Danio rerio: one gene and its partners. The protein of the gene in region 1 purifies or fractionates together with the protein of each later gene. This does not show direct contact. Links are inferred from orthologs where the notes say so. Each region holds a gene or a part of one and is shown in the gene's direction. Other genes may lie near its edges.

Region 1 (4,124 bases):
TGAGAATCCTAAAACATGTCAGCAACTTGTTAAAAAATGTTAGCAATGTGCAAGAACACGCTAAAGATTTTAGAAACACTAAACTTGCTAGCAACAAGTTACAGGGTGATTAATATGCCAACTTGCAAAACATGATATTCAATTCATGTTTATTTCTATAGCGCTTTTACAGTGTAGATTATGTCAAAGCAGCTTAACATAGAAGTTCTCGTCAATTGAAACTATGTGAGTCCAGTTTTCAGAGTTGAAGTTCAGTTTAGTTCAGTTCAGTGTCGATTAATTTTCACTGCTGAAAGTCCAAACAATGAAGAGAAAATCTCTTGATGCACAGCTCCACAAGTCCCAAACCAAGCAAGCAAACATATATCAATATCGTAGCACCTTGTTAAAACTGTAAAAACACAGTTTTTGTTAATGACATGATGTAAACATATCATAACATACTTATAAACAGGCTGGCTGGCGGTAATGGTAGTAATATGGTACAACATATTAACATCTATCTCTCCTGCTAATAAAATATAAAACCTTAAAATTTTAAGCTGTAAAACTGCTTGTAAATTCATTCATTCTCTGCTTTGTCCCTTTATTAATCTGGGGTCACCACAGTGGAATGAACCACCAACTTATCCAGCATATGTTTAATGCAGCGGATGCCCTTACAGCTGCAACCCATCACTGGGAAACACCCTCACACTCTCATTCACACACGTACACAATGGTCAATTTAGCCTACCCAATTCACCTATAGCGCATGTCTGATTGTAGAGGAAACCGACACGAACACGGGAAGAACATGCGAACTCCACGCAGACTTGCCAACTGACCCAGCCAAGACTCCAGCAACCATCTTGCTGTCAGGCGATTGTAATACCCACTGTGCCACCGTGAAACCTTTTAAACTTTGAGCTTTAAAATAGCTTCAAACCTATTGGTCAGGCTTTTTCAACACAACGTTTAAGTTTGTCTTGAGGAAATAGTTTTTTTTTGTTTGTTTTTGTTAAGTTATTTAGGAAAATCTGCACTAATAGTGTAGGCTATTAGTTTTCATACATGCTTAATAATGCATATTTAAATTAAGAAATGTAAGAATTGACAGCCTGCAGAAGGGAAAACTTCATTAGTTTGTCACGTAACTTCTTAAAGCTTATGTGTGAAATGTAAAGCAAATTGTCGATGAAGTAGTAATCACATGGTGATGAACGTGAGTTATCTGATATCAGTGGCAGTGAGTGAAATGTAATAGACACTCCGGAGCGAAAGGGGGCAGTATTACACAAAAAAAGGAAAAAACAAAACGTCATCTTTGTGCGACGGGAATTTGTCACAGCAAACGCGATGGCAGAACCAGGGTGCGTATTTTACTTATTTCGAATCTTAATCAATCTGTGATGAAGATCAAAACTATTATCTAGTTTTTTTCGTTTTCAGCGTCTATATAGTGTGTATAGATTGTTGGATACAAAATTTATCCGGATGACACAATGTGATGAGGGTGATTAGTTAAAGTTTGTTTTCACATGGATCGACTCTAGTCTACCTGAACTAACATGAAAGTTGTTTTTACTATTGTTTTTTTTTTGTTGTAATTTTACTTTAGATCTTAAAGACTGTCTGGCTGTTCTGTCATGTGTAGATGTTTACAATGGACGTACTGTCACGGAATTATTTGTAGTTTTGGAGTTCGATGGCAGGGCTCCAGATTAACATTTCAGAGCAGTGGCACCGATGCCACCAACTTAAACATATGGTGACATACGCTAATGATTTTGTGTTTGGACAGTGCTTTAAAAGAAATTAAAAAATAAGTAAACCAACACTAATAATAAATACAGAGATGCCTCAAAGATATGCGAACAGATAATTTAATCTGGGTAAATTTGGTTGTTTTCGCACATTCAGACTTTCTTTTGAATAAATTAACTTGGGAAATTTTTTTTTTTGCAGATTCAAAACAGGGAAATCATATTAGCAGGCAACAACTCTCAAATAGTGCTAATGTTGTTTTGAAGGCATACTTGCATGCGATTTCAGACCGAATATTTTAATAGGTAAACAATGTATCGATAAACATAACGAATTTGTGAATATAAAATCAACTATGTCTCAATAAACTGATTAAAACTACATCAATGATATTTCTTGATAAAATTATCTGTGGTGAGGATACTAGTCGTAGACACAAAAGTTCCTAAAGGCAATACCTAGATTTAATACTTTCCTTGCTGACATTTATTTCAATATTGAATCTCTTAAGCTTATTAATAATAATAATAGAAATAATAAGTTTTTTAAAACTCATGATAATATTTTTTTCTTAATTATTTAGGCTTTGTAAAGTTTTTGTTGTTTTGTGTGTTTTTCTTATTTTTTCTTCTTGTATTTTTTTATTCAATGCAGTGAGTGATGTTATTATTCTTCAATTTAATAAAAAAGGATACTAGTCATATTGAATGTAATGATGCTACCGTTTTATAGTCAGTTATCATGCTTTAGCTTATTTGTCGTAGCATTTGCTAACAGTTGTGAGACTTTTTTTTAATTAAAAGCAACAATAAAAATAATAGCAAAAGCTTTTATGTTCAGTGATGTATATTTTGTTGTGTTTAACAAGTAAAATCAGTAGACAGAGTGTTAATTTACAGATAAGTGTGGTTACATCACTGAGTCAACTTCTTGCTGCCCATTCCTTTAAATTAAAGAGCATTGTCTGTTGATTCTCTTTACAGGTTTTATCTTTATATTTGTCTTTAAATAAAACATTTAACCTCATCATAAACAAAATAATAGTAGATTGAAGCCATGCAGATAATGAATTGTATAAGGTCTTATAAAGTTTGTATTAAAACATTGATATCTTTTGTTCAGAACTGAGAAAGTGATCAAGCTTGTTCCTGAGAATCTTCTCAAGAAACGCAAGGCATACCAGGCTATCAAAGCCAATCAAGCTAAACTTGCTTTACAGCAGAAGAAAAGGGTAAGAATTCTTCTATGTGTTAATAGTCCAATAATTACTTCAAAAACAAACTAATAAACTAAATATTTCACCAGGTCCAAAAAGGAATCCCCTTCAAGTTTAAGCGCTTGGAGGAGTTTTTGCAAAACAGCAGGAGAAAGCATCGAGATGAGACCAGGCTCGCCAGACTCAAAAAGAGACCTCCACCACCCATGCCACCAGCCAAAAACAGCCTGGCATTCGCTGTCCGCATTAGAGAGTAATTTACACTCATGCCTCATTCACGTTGACATTGAAGCTGTTCTATTATGCTGCTACACTTTTAACTTTCTTTGGAGTTTAATATGGCTGTTTGACCATGAGAAAATGTACAAAGCACAAATTATACTACAGGTATGATTTTTCTGGACTCTCTCAAACACCTTGATTCTAGTCCAAAAGGGGAGTAATTTTCACCCTAGGCAAGCCCAGTAAGGTTACACAATCCAACGACACCTTAGACTCAAGTTACATCTTATAAAAAGAGCATAATAGGAGAACTTCAAAGAAACATTTGACCCAAAAATATAATTGCATCATAATTGACTCGCCCTTATGTTATTTCCAACAATGTTCCATGTTATTTTCACGATGCGTCATCAGTTGACCATATTGGAAAGCAAAGCGTAAACAATGCCACTGAATGAAACTTGCATATTTTGCTGATTACTGCTGTTGAAATTAGTTTTTGTCAAGTTTTGGCCTGTACTTAAGCACTGAAGAGTACTAAAGACCGACAAAAGTGAGCAAATTAAACAGAAGAGAGCTGTTTGACTAAATATTACATATTTTCACACTTACCAAGTTTTCTGTATAATCTAGCACCTTAGACTAATTTTTGTCTTAAATGCAGAACAGTATATTCAGTAATTGATTATTGTGCGATCCATGATGTTGTTTACATCTGAGCATCTACGTCATGACTGCACGTATGGGTAACTAATGAAATGATGCAAGATGCATTTTTTGTGACAATCAAAAGTTTTGTTTTAAATAACATAACAGTATGTGATGACTTAAGTTGTTTTTGGATTAACCATCCTTTAAGGTTTATTACCTTTGTTTTTATTAGGGTTTAATTTAGATTTTTCATTTATTGTAGGATCAAAGGTGTGAGCCCTAAAGTGAT
Region 2 (3,519 bases), on another chromosome or scaffold:
TCATTTTTTAGTTTAGTTTTAGTAGCTCAGTAAAAAAACAAAGAAGCAAAAGGTTTTGTTGAATTGGAAATGACGATCACTGTCAAAGGCATTCGCCCCAACCCCTCCCCATCATTCTCCCTCTTTTTTTAGACGGGATGGTGGGCCAAATCGAAGATTACATAGGGCCAACTTTAGCCCGCAGGTCATACTTTGGGCTTCTCTGGTTTAATCTATTCAGTTATGTGCACATTTTTTATTGCACATTTTCAAAATTATGTGCATCTTTGTGTTTCTATTAAGCAATTTTAGGAAATTTTTCAAATAAACAAATTATAGGTGGATGGCAACTACAGAAAAAGTTTGACGGCTCTGTGATGTCACAATCTGCACTGTGGCTAACAACAGATCAGTTGGAATCAGCTTTAAGACCGGCTGGTTACTGGTTTGATCAATCAAGCAAGGAAACTGATTCTAGTCCCTGGCCAGTCGATCGTGCATCTCTACTGTTTTGATTTGTGAGTGTCGAACGATTGTTAAATTTACCATCAATCTCTTAACAGAAGCAGAAGAAGACGAGGAAGAGGAGGGAGAAGAAGAAGAGGATGATGAAGAAGACGAAGAGGACGATGAGCAGAGTGAGGATGAAGAGGAAGCAGAAGAAGAAGCAAATCTAGCTGAAATGGAGGAGAAGAGATCTCAGGGAAAGGTTAGTAGAAACTGTAAAAAAAAATATGGACGTAGTATCGATTACGTCACCCATAGGTTTTGAAGCGCGCAAATGAAGCTATAAGTGGGCATGGCCAACTGGTGCCATGTTTTTTTTTGCATGTCATCGCACTGACCGGGGGTAACCAAAAATGGGCAAAAAGGTGGAGCTACAAATGTGTCTAGACCTTTGCTCAGATAGGGGGTTTTTTGGGAGAAACGCTTAGGACTTTATTACCTGCAATTCGTTTGTGTTCTGACCACGTGCTTGGTTGTATACTATATCAATAAAGTGTTTAGTCTTTTAAAAACACTGTTGTATTACATTGAGCCACTAAGTATTGTTCTTATGATGTTTTTCTACAGGAGGAAAATGTAAATTACTTACAAATACGTCAAATATAGTCTGTGTTAGTAAATGCAAGGCTATATATGAAATCCAGGCAGAACACTGTTTGACAATGTTTCAGATGACTGTTCTACAGCATACAGCTAATCAATCTGTCAGGTTCAAGAGTGCTTTACAATTCTAGAGAAAATTATGAATGATAAATAAATCTTAAATAAAATAAATACATTTATAGATATGAAATACAAGTAAACAATTTCACTAACAAGGGAAATGGAGGCCACTTGAATAGCATTTGACTTTGTAAAGCCACATAAAACAAAACGAGTTCAGCAGCTAATCAGCTGGAATCAGCTGAGGTGAAGTGACTGCGACCAGCGATACCTAGCTGTCACTCAAGTGGCCACACCCGTAATTATGCAGACTTAATATAACGCAAAAGAAAAAAAAATAAAGAAAAAAGGATGAGTTATAAAAAAAATCACCCCCCTTACAGTTGTCATGAACAGTGATATTATTAGCTATATACATCAAAATTGTTTTTTGTACCAGGCTTTAAACTTTTTTTTTTTTTTTTTTTTTTTTTTTTTTTTTTTTTTTTGCTGTAAAGTTGGCCATTCTAACATTGGGCTCAATAGAAATTAGCTCTTTTGGAGCCAGGCCTAGTGAATTTTTGATGAATAGCAGTTTCAGTTACTTGCGTGTTTACTTGAGGAGGGAGAGCGGGAGATTGCCCCTTGGTTTTGGATGCTCTTGATTTTGCACGTAGAATATTTTTGCAGTTCTGCTTGTTGACTTCAGTTTTACAGAAATTGCACACAGTAAAATATTTAAGGCTGTTGCATCACATCTGTTAAAAGTGAATGCTTATTTATTCGCCTTCAGGCCATCCAAGAGGTGACTTATTCTTAAGTAGATCAATTAAAGAAGATTTATATCTCGATGGTCATTTGCAAAATGTAAATTAGCAGTTACCAGCACTTGTATACCTTTACACATAAAGATGGCAGAAACAGCCAAAACAGGGTTTTAACAGTGATGCCACAATAGAACCATATCCAGTTCCTAACAAAACTGTAGTTTGAAAATCAATTACTTAATCTAAAGCCTTTTTGATTGTCCAGTACCTGTTTGTGGAATCAGAAAGTTCCTGGAGATTAAAGGATTAAAGGTTATTTGTGGAACTATCAACGCTAATGGATTATATGCACAGCTAGTGTTTTTCAGCCAATGATAAACTTCTGGTGAAGGCTTAATGTTACTTTTTATTTTATTTCATATGGTTCCTTTTACAGCATGAATGTTGTGATGTGATTACAACACTCTCAGTTAAATAAACTTAAGCATTCATTTAGTTGCTCAAGCAAAAAACAAGATGCAAGACTGTGTAACCGATAGCGCCGTTAGGATCAGCAGGGGAGAGCAGAAACACAGTTGAAAAAACTGGGATAAAATAAATGTTCATATCTTAAAGACATTGCAGGGGGAAATGGAATTTTATACAGTGCTTCTTGTCCGGTCTGAGACCCCCTTTGTATTGTATATCTATCAGGCAGTGAATATCACTGATTTTTGAAGAAAAAGTGACAATTTTATTATGTAAGGACAGTTCACCAGAAGTGCGCTGGCTGGCTGAAATTAAAAGTCTGTGTGTATATACTCCATTAAGAACCTTTAAGTGTGTAGAGTAAAAAATGTCAAAACCCGAATTAATTGCCTTGCCTTTTCTTAAAAATCATTTTGTGAATATTTAGTGTAAAGAAATATTTTAAAAAATCTTCAAAAATATATATTTTGTTATTATACATCACAGTGCTGCTCCAAAATCTTAATTTGTTATTTTAAAACTTTGTACTTTATCACTATCCTTCAAAACACTGATTATATATATATATTGACTTTAACTGCTAAAAGCTACTAGTGAGTAGTTAGTTGAAGTAATTAGCAACTAATAAAGTTGTTGACTAATAACTTTTTCTGATGTGGATTCTGATACAATAATGTGCACCTTTTTTAAAGCTGCTTTTCACAATAATTATTGTGAAAAGCACTATTCAAATGAACTTGATTTATTTAAAACATTAAGTATGAGCACATGTAAAATGAGTACCATTCAGATTAAATATGTATTTTCGTTTTTACATATGTAAGGCTGAATGATGGACTGAACCTTAAATCACCCTTATTTTTTTTTCCACAAAATGTTTAGAATCATTGAAGTAGTCACTTAGTAGTAGTCTTAGTATGCTTTGTATGTATGTAAAATCACTTTTGCTAACTTAATTTAGGAATTTTTTTTTTTTTATCAAATTCAATTTGTTGTGGTTGTCCCTCAGAGCCTCTCAGTAAAGGTGACTCCTGGTAAAGCCAAAGCTGAGAACCGTGCGAGAGCAGCAGAGGAGGAGAAAGCAGAGGAGAAGAGACTGGCCATTATGATGATGAAGAAGAAAGAGAAATACCTCTATGACAAGATCATGTTCGGC
Region 3 (3,519 bases), on another chromosome or scaffold:
CCTTTTTGCTGTGAGGCGGCAGTGCTACCCATTGTGCTGCCCCCTTTTGAGACTATTTCAGTTAATTTTATGCATTTGGCAGCGTCTGATTTTAGAGCAATTTTTAAGTTTCTCTGAGCTTTTTGACACCGCCTTTCCTTTTTTCACGGTCCATCTCTGACAATTAGCTTGTGTTGCACCTAATGTTTGTTTGACATTCTTGCCAGATTTTGATTATGTCATGCGTAACCTCTGATTGGGTGGGCCCATCTCGAAACCAGCTGGCCATTACCGATTGGGCCAATGCTTAACATTTATTATTATTATTACTATTATCATCATCATTATCATCATCTTTATCATAATATTCACCTCTTGCAAGAAACAAAAACTGCCTGTATGTAAAATGAATACTTATTAAAAAAAAATGTAATAAAAAATAGCATACCGGCCCACATTTAAAAAAAAATGGTCCAGCCCTTCTGGCATTTGCCAGAATTGCCAGATGGCCAGTCCGCCCCTGCAGTTTATGATATTACAAGACGGATTACATTCATTTTCTTGTATGATTTATAGACAAATATTTCTTTAATTTAATATTTTTATTAGTTATAATAGTTTTAAGAATAAAAATCATAAATTGTGAGATTTAAACAGCTTTATTATATTAATTGTTATAATTTTTTTATTTATTGTGTTTGGAGAAAACACAGAAGTGAAGTCAGAAATGTGTGTTTGTGTTTGTGTGTGTGTGTGTGTGTGTGTGTGTGTGTGTGTGTGTGTGTGTGTGTGTGTGTATACAGTTGAAGTCAGAATTATTAGCCCCCCTAAATTATTCCCCCACCGTTTATTTTATCCCTAATTTCTGTTTAACGGAGAGAAGATTTTTATCAACACATTTCTAAACATAATAGTTTTAATAACTCATTTCTAATAACTGATTTGTTTTGTCTTTGCCATGATGACAGTAAATAATATTTGACTAGATAAATAATTTTGACCTTAAAATGGTTCATAAAACTTTGAACAACTTTTTTTCTAGTCAAAATAAAGCAAAAAAGACTTTCTACAGAAGAAAAAATATCAGACATACTGTGAAAATTTTCTTGCTCTGTTAAACATCATTTGGGAAATGCTTAAAACAGAAAAAAAGGGGGGTAAACCTTCTATATATGTATAACCTTCTATAAACAACTCCATTCTGTGGCGGAGAAAAAAAAACAGGATTGCAAGATGTTAATTTCGAAAGGCAAGAAAAAAAATATAATGGGAAAAGTTTTTTTTATGTTGCCGGACAGAAGAATTTTCAAGTTGAAGTCAAAATTAGAGATTTAGACTCTCAAAAGTCCAAAATTTTGTGAAAAATCCACATTTTTTTGATTTTTTTTTATCAGTTATGCCAACAAAAAAACTGTATTGGAATAAATGCACTTTTTTAGATAATTAAACAATTTAAAGGAAGAAAATCTAAAATCTGAGAAATATAGCTGCATTTCTAAGAAATTATAAAGGTGAGGGAAAAAGAAGAAAAGAACGAAAAAAAAGTTTGAGCTAAAGTCAAAATTATATATATAATGTAAACTCATTTCTGTAAAAAGTCACAATATACTATCAAAAATCCAAAATTTCCAGTAGATTGGAAGTGTAATATATAAAATAACTAAAAGAAGAAAAAAAATCTGAGTTGTGTGAAATAAACTTGCAATTCTAATATAAATGTCAGAATTGTGAAGCAAAGTGTTGCATTTGTTTATTTATTTTGTTTACACTTTGTTCCATGGCAAAAATAAAAACACTAAAGCTAAAGTCAAAATTAGAGATATGAACTCTAGAGAAGATATGATTAGAGGTATGAATTATGAGATCAGATAGAAAATATGTGGAGCAAGCTAAAAAGCTATTGCAAAAAATAAACAAAATAACTAGAAAAATCTACATTAATAAATTAAATATCTAATGTTTAATCTAAATAAATACACTGAAAAAAGCTGAATGACCTATAGCTGGGGTCACCAATCTTGGTCCTAGAGGGCCAGTGTCCCTGCTGGCTTTAGCTCTAACTTGCCTCATCACACCTGCCTGGGTGTTTCAAGTTTACCTAGTATGAGCTTGATTAGCGTGTTCAGGTGTATTTGATTAGGGTTGGAGCTAAAATCTGCCGGACACTGGACCTCCAGGAACAAGTTTAATGACCCCTGGTCTAAAGTCAAGAAGTGAGAGATAAACTCAACTTATATTTATAAAATATTGTCAAATTGATCTGGTTTTGCCATAAAATAGCCAGAGATGCTGACATGGCAATAAATTCTAAACTCTCAACTCTCTCTCCATATAAACACAGAGTTCAAGGGGAAAAATCGGAAAATAGCCAATGCATTTGCAAGAAAAAAAAGCTTCGTTGTTGATAACCAACTTCCATCCTACATCTTTTTTTATATGTAACCCCCTGTTTTCCCTCAGGCCGGACCTCTGGTTTGACGACGTGGACCCCGATGACATCGAGTCCGCTTTAGGGACAGAAGCTGCGGACATCATGCGGAAACGCTGCGGATTAGCGAAGTGCGATCCAAAAAACACAGAGAAGATGCTGGTGAAAGAGCATGCGTTTGAGGGGTATGTGAACATGACCACACTTGCTCCTGTCATTGCTAACAGGAAGTGATGTCACTCAATGATTTATTTTGTGGTTTTTAGAGTGACTCGTGCGGTTGCGATGGACTGCGAGATGGTGGGTGTTGGATATAAGGGAGAGGACAGTATTTTAGCCCGAGTCTCCCTCGTCAACCACTTCGGGAAATGTATCTATGACAAATACGTCAAACCCACAGAGAAGGTTACGGACTACCGAACGGCGGTTAGCGGCATCAGACCGGACGACATCAAGAATGGTCAGAACTTTAATAATAGACATTGTTATAGTTATATACTGAAGTAAGAATGATTAACCCTTCTGAAATATTAGCCCTCCTGTAAATTTATTCTAATGGAGCTAAGTTAAATAGTTTAATAACTTATTTCTAGTAACGGATTTCTTTAATCTGCCATGATGACAGTGAATAATATTTATTTTGAATAATAGGCTTAACTAGGTTGGTTAGGTTAACTAGGCAGGTTAGGGTAATTAGGCAAGTTATTGTATAATATTGGTTTGTTCTGTAGACTATCAAAAATAAATATAGCTTAAAGGGGCTAATAATTTTGACCTTAAAATGGTTTAAAAAATTTAAAGCTGCTTTTATTTTAGCCGAAATAAAACAAATAAGACTTTCTCCAGAAGAAAAAATATTATAGGAAATACTGTGAAAATTTCCTTGCTCTGTTAATCATCATTTGGGAAATATTTTTTAACAAATTCACAGGAGGGCAAATCAGTTTGACCCCAACTGTATATATGTGCAATATCACACTCATAGCAGTGTGATATGGATGTATATCGGCAGTGGTGGGAGGGGTGTGTTGGCATGAGGCCATAGGCAGAATGCCTTAGCGTCCCACCAGTGACGATATACAGCCATATCACACTGCTATGAGTGTGATATT

Evidence for each region.
Region 2: the proteins of rpl7l1 (region 1) and pes purify together in Homo sapiens (affinity purification with mass spectrometry; 4 studies listed by BioGRID and IntAct, counting the BioPlex papers as one, with this or other methods). This does not show direct contact. The link is inferred for Danio rerio from reciprocal best matches to the Homo sapiens genes RPL7L1 and PES1.
Region 3: the proteins of rpl7l1 (region 1) and rexo4 purify together in Homo sapiens (affinity purification with mass spectrometry; 3 studies listed by BioGRID and IntAct, with this or other methods). This does not show direct contact. The link is inferred for Danio rerio from reciprocal best matches to the Homo sapiens genes RPL7L1 and REXO4.

The regions. Positions count from the first base shown.
Region 1 is NC_133195.1:39,945,466-39,949,589, reverse strand, and holds the start of rpl7l1 (60S ribosomal protein L7-like 1), read left to right. Parts: upstream 1-1,308; 5' UTR 1,309-1,338; coding exon 1,339-1,352; intron 1,353-2,868; coding exon 2,869-2,977; intron 2,978-3,051; coding exon 3,052-3,215; intron 3,216-4,097; coding exon 4,098-4,124.
Region 2 is NC_133180.1:13,536,067-13,539,585, forward strand, and holds part of pes (pescadillo), read left to right. Parts: intron 1-542; coding exon 543-688; intron 689-3,372; coding exon 3,373-3,519. UniProt on the Homo sapiens protein: Component of the PeBoW complex, which is required for maturation of 28S and 5.8S ribosomal RNAs and formation of the 60S ribosome.
Region 3 is NC_133196.1:7,189,044-7,192,562, forward strand, and holds part of rexo4 (RNA exonuclease 4), read left to right. Parts: intron 1-2,439; coding exon 2,440-2,592; intron 2,593-2,673; coding exon 2,674-2,867; intron 2,868-3,519.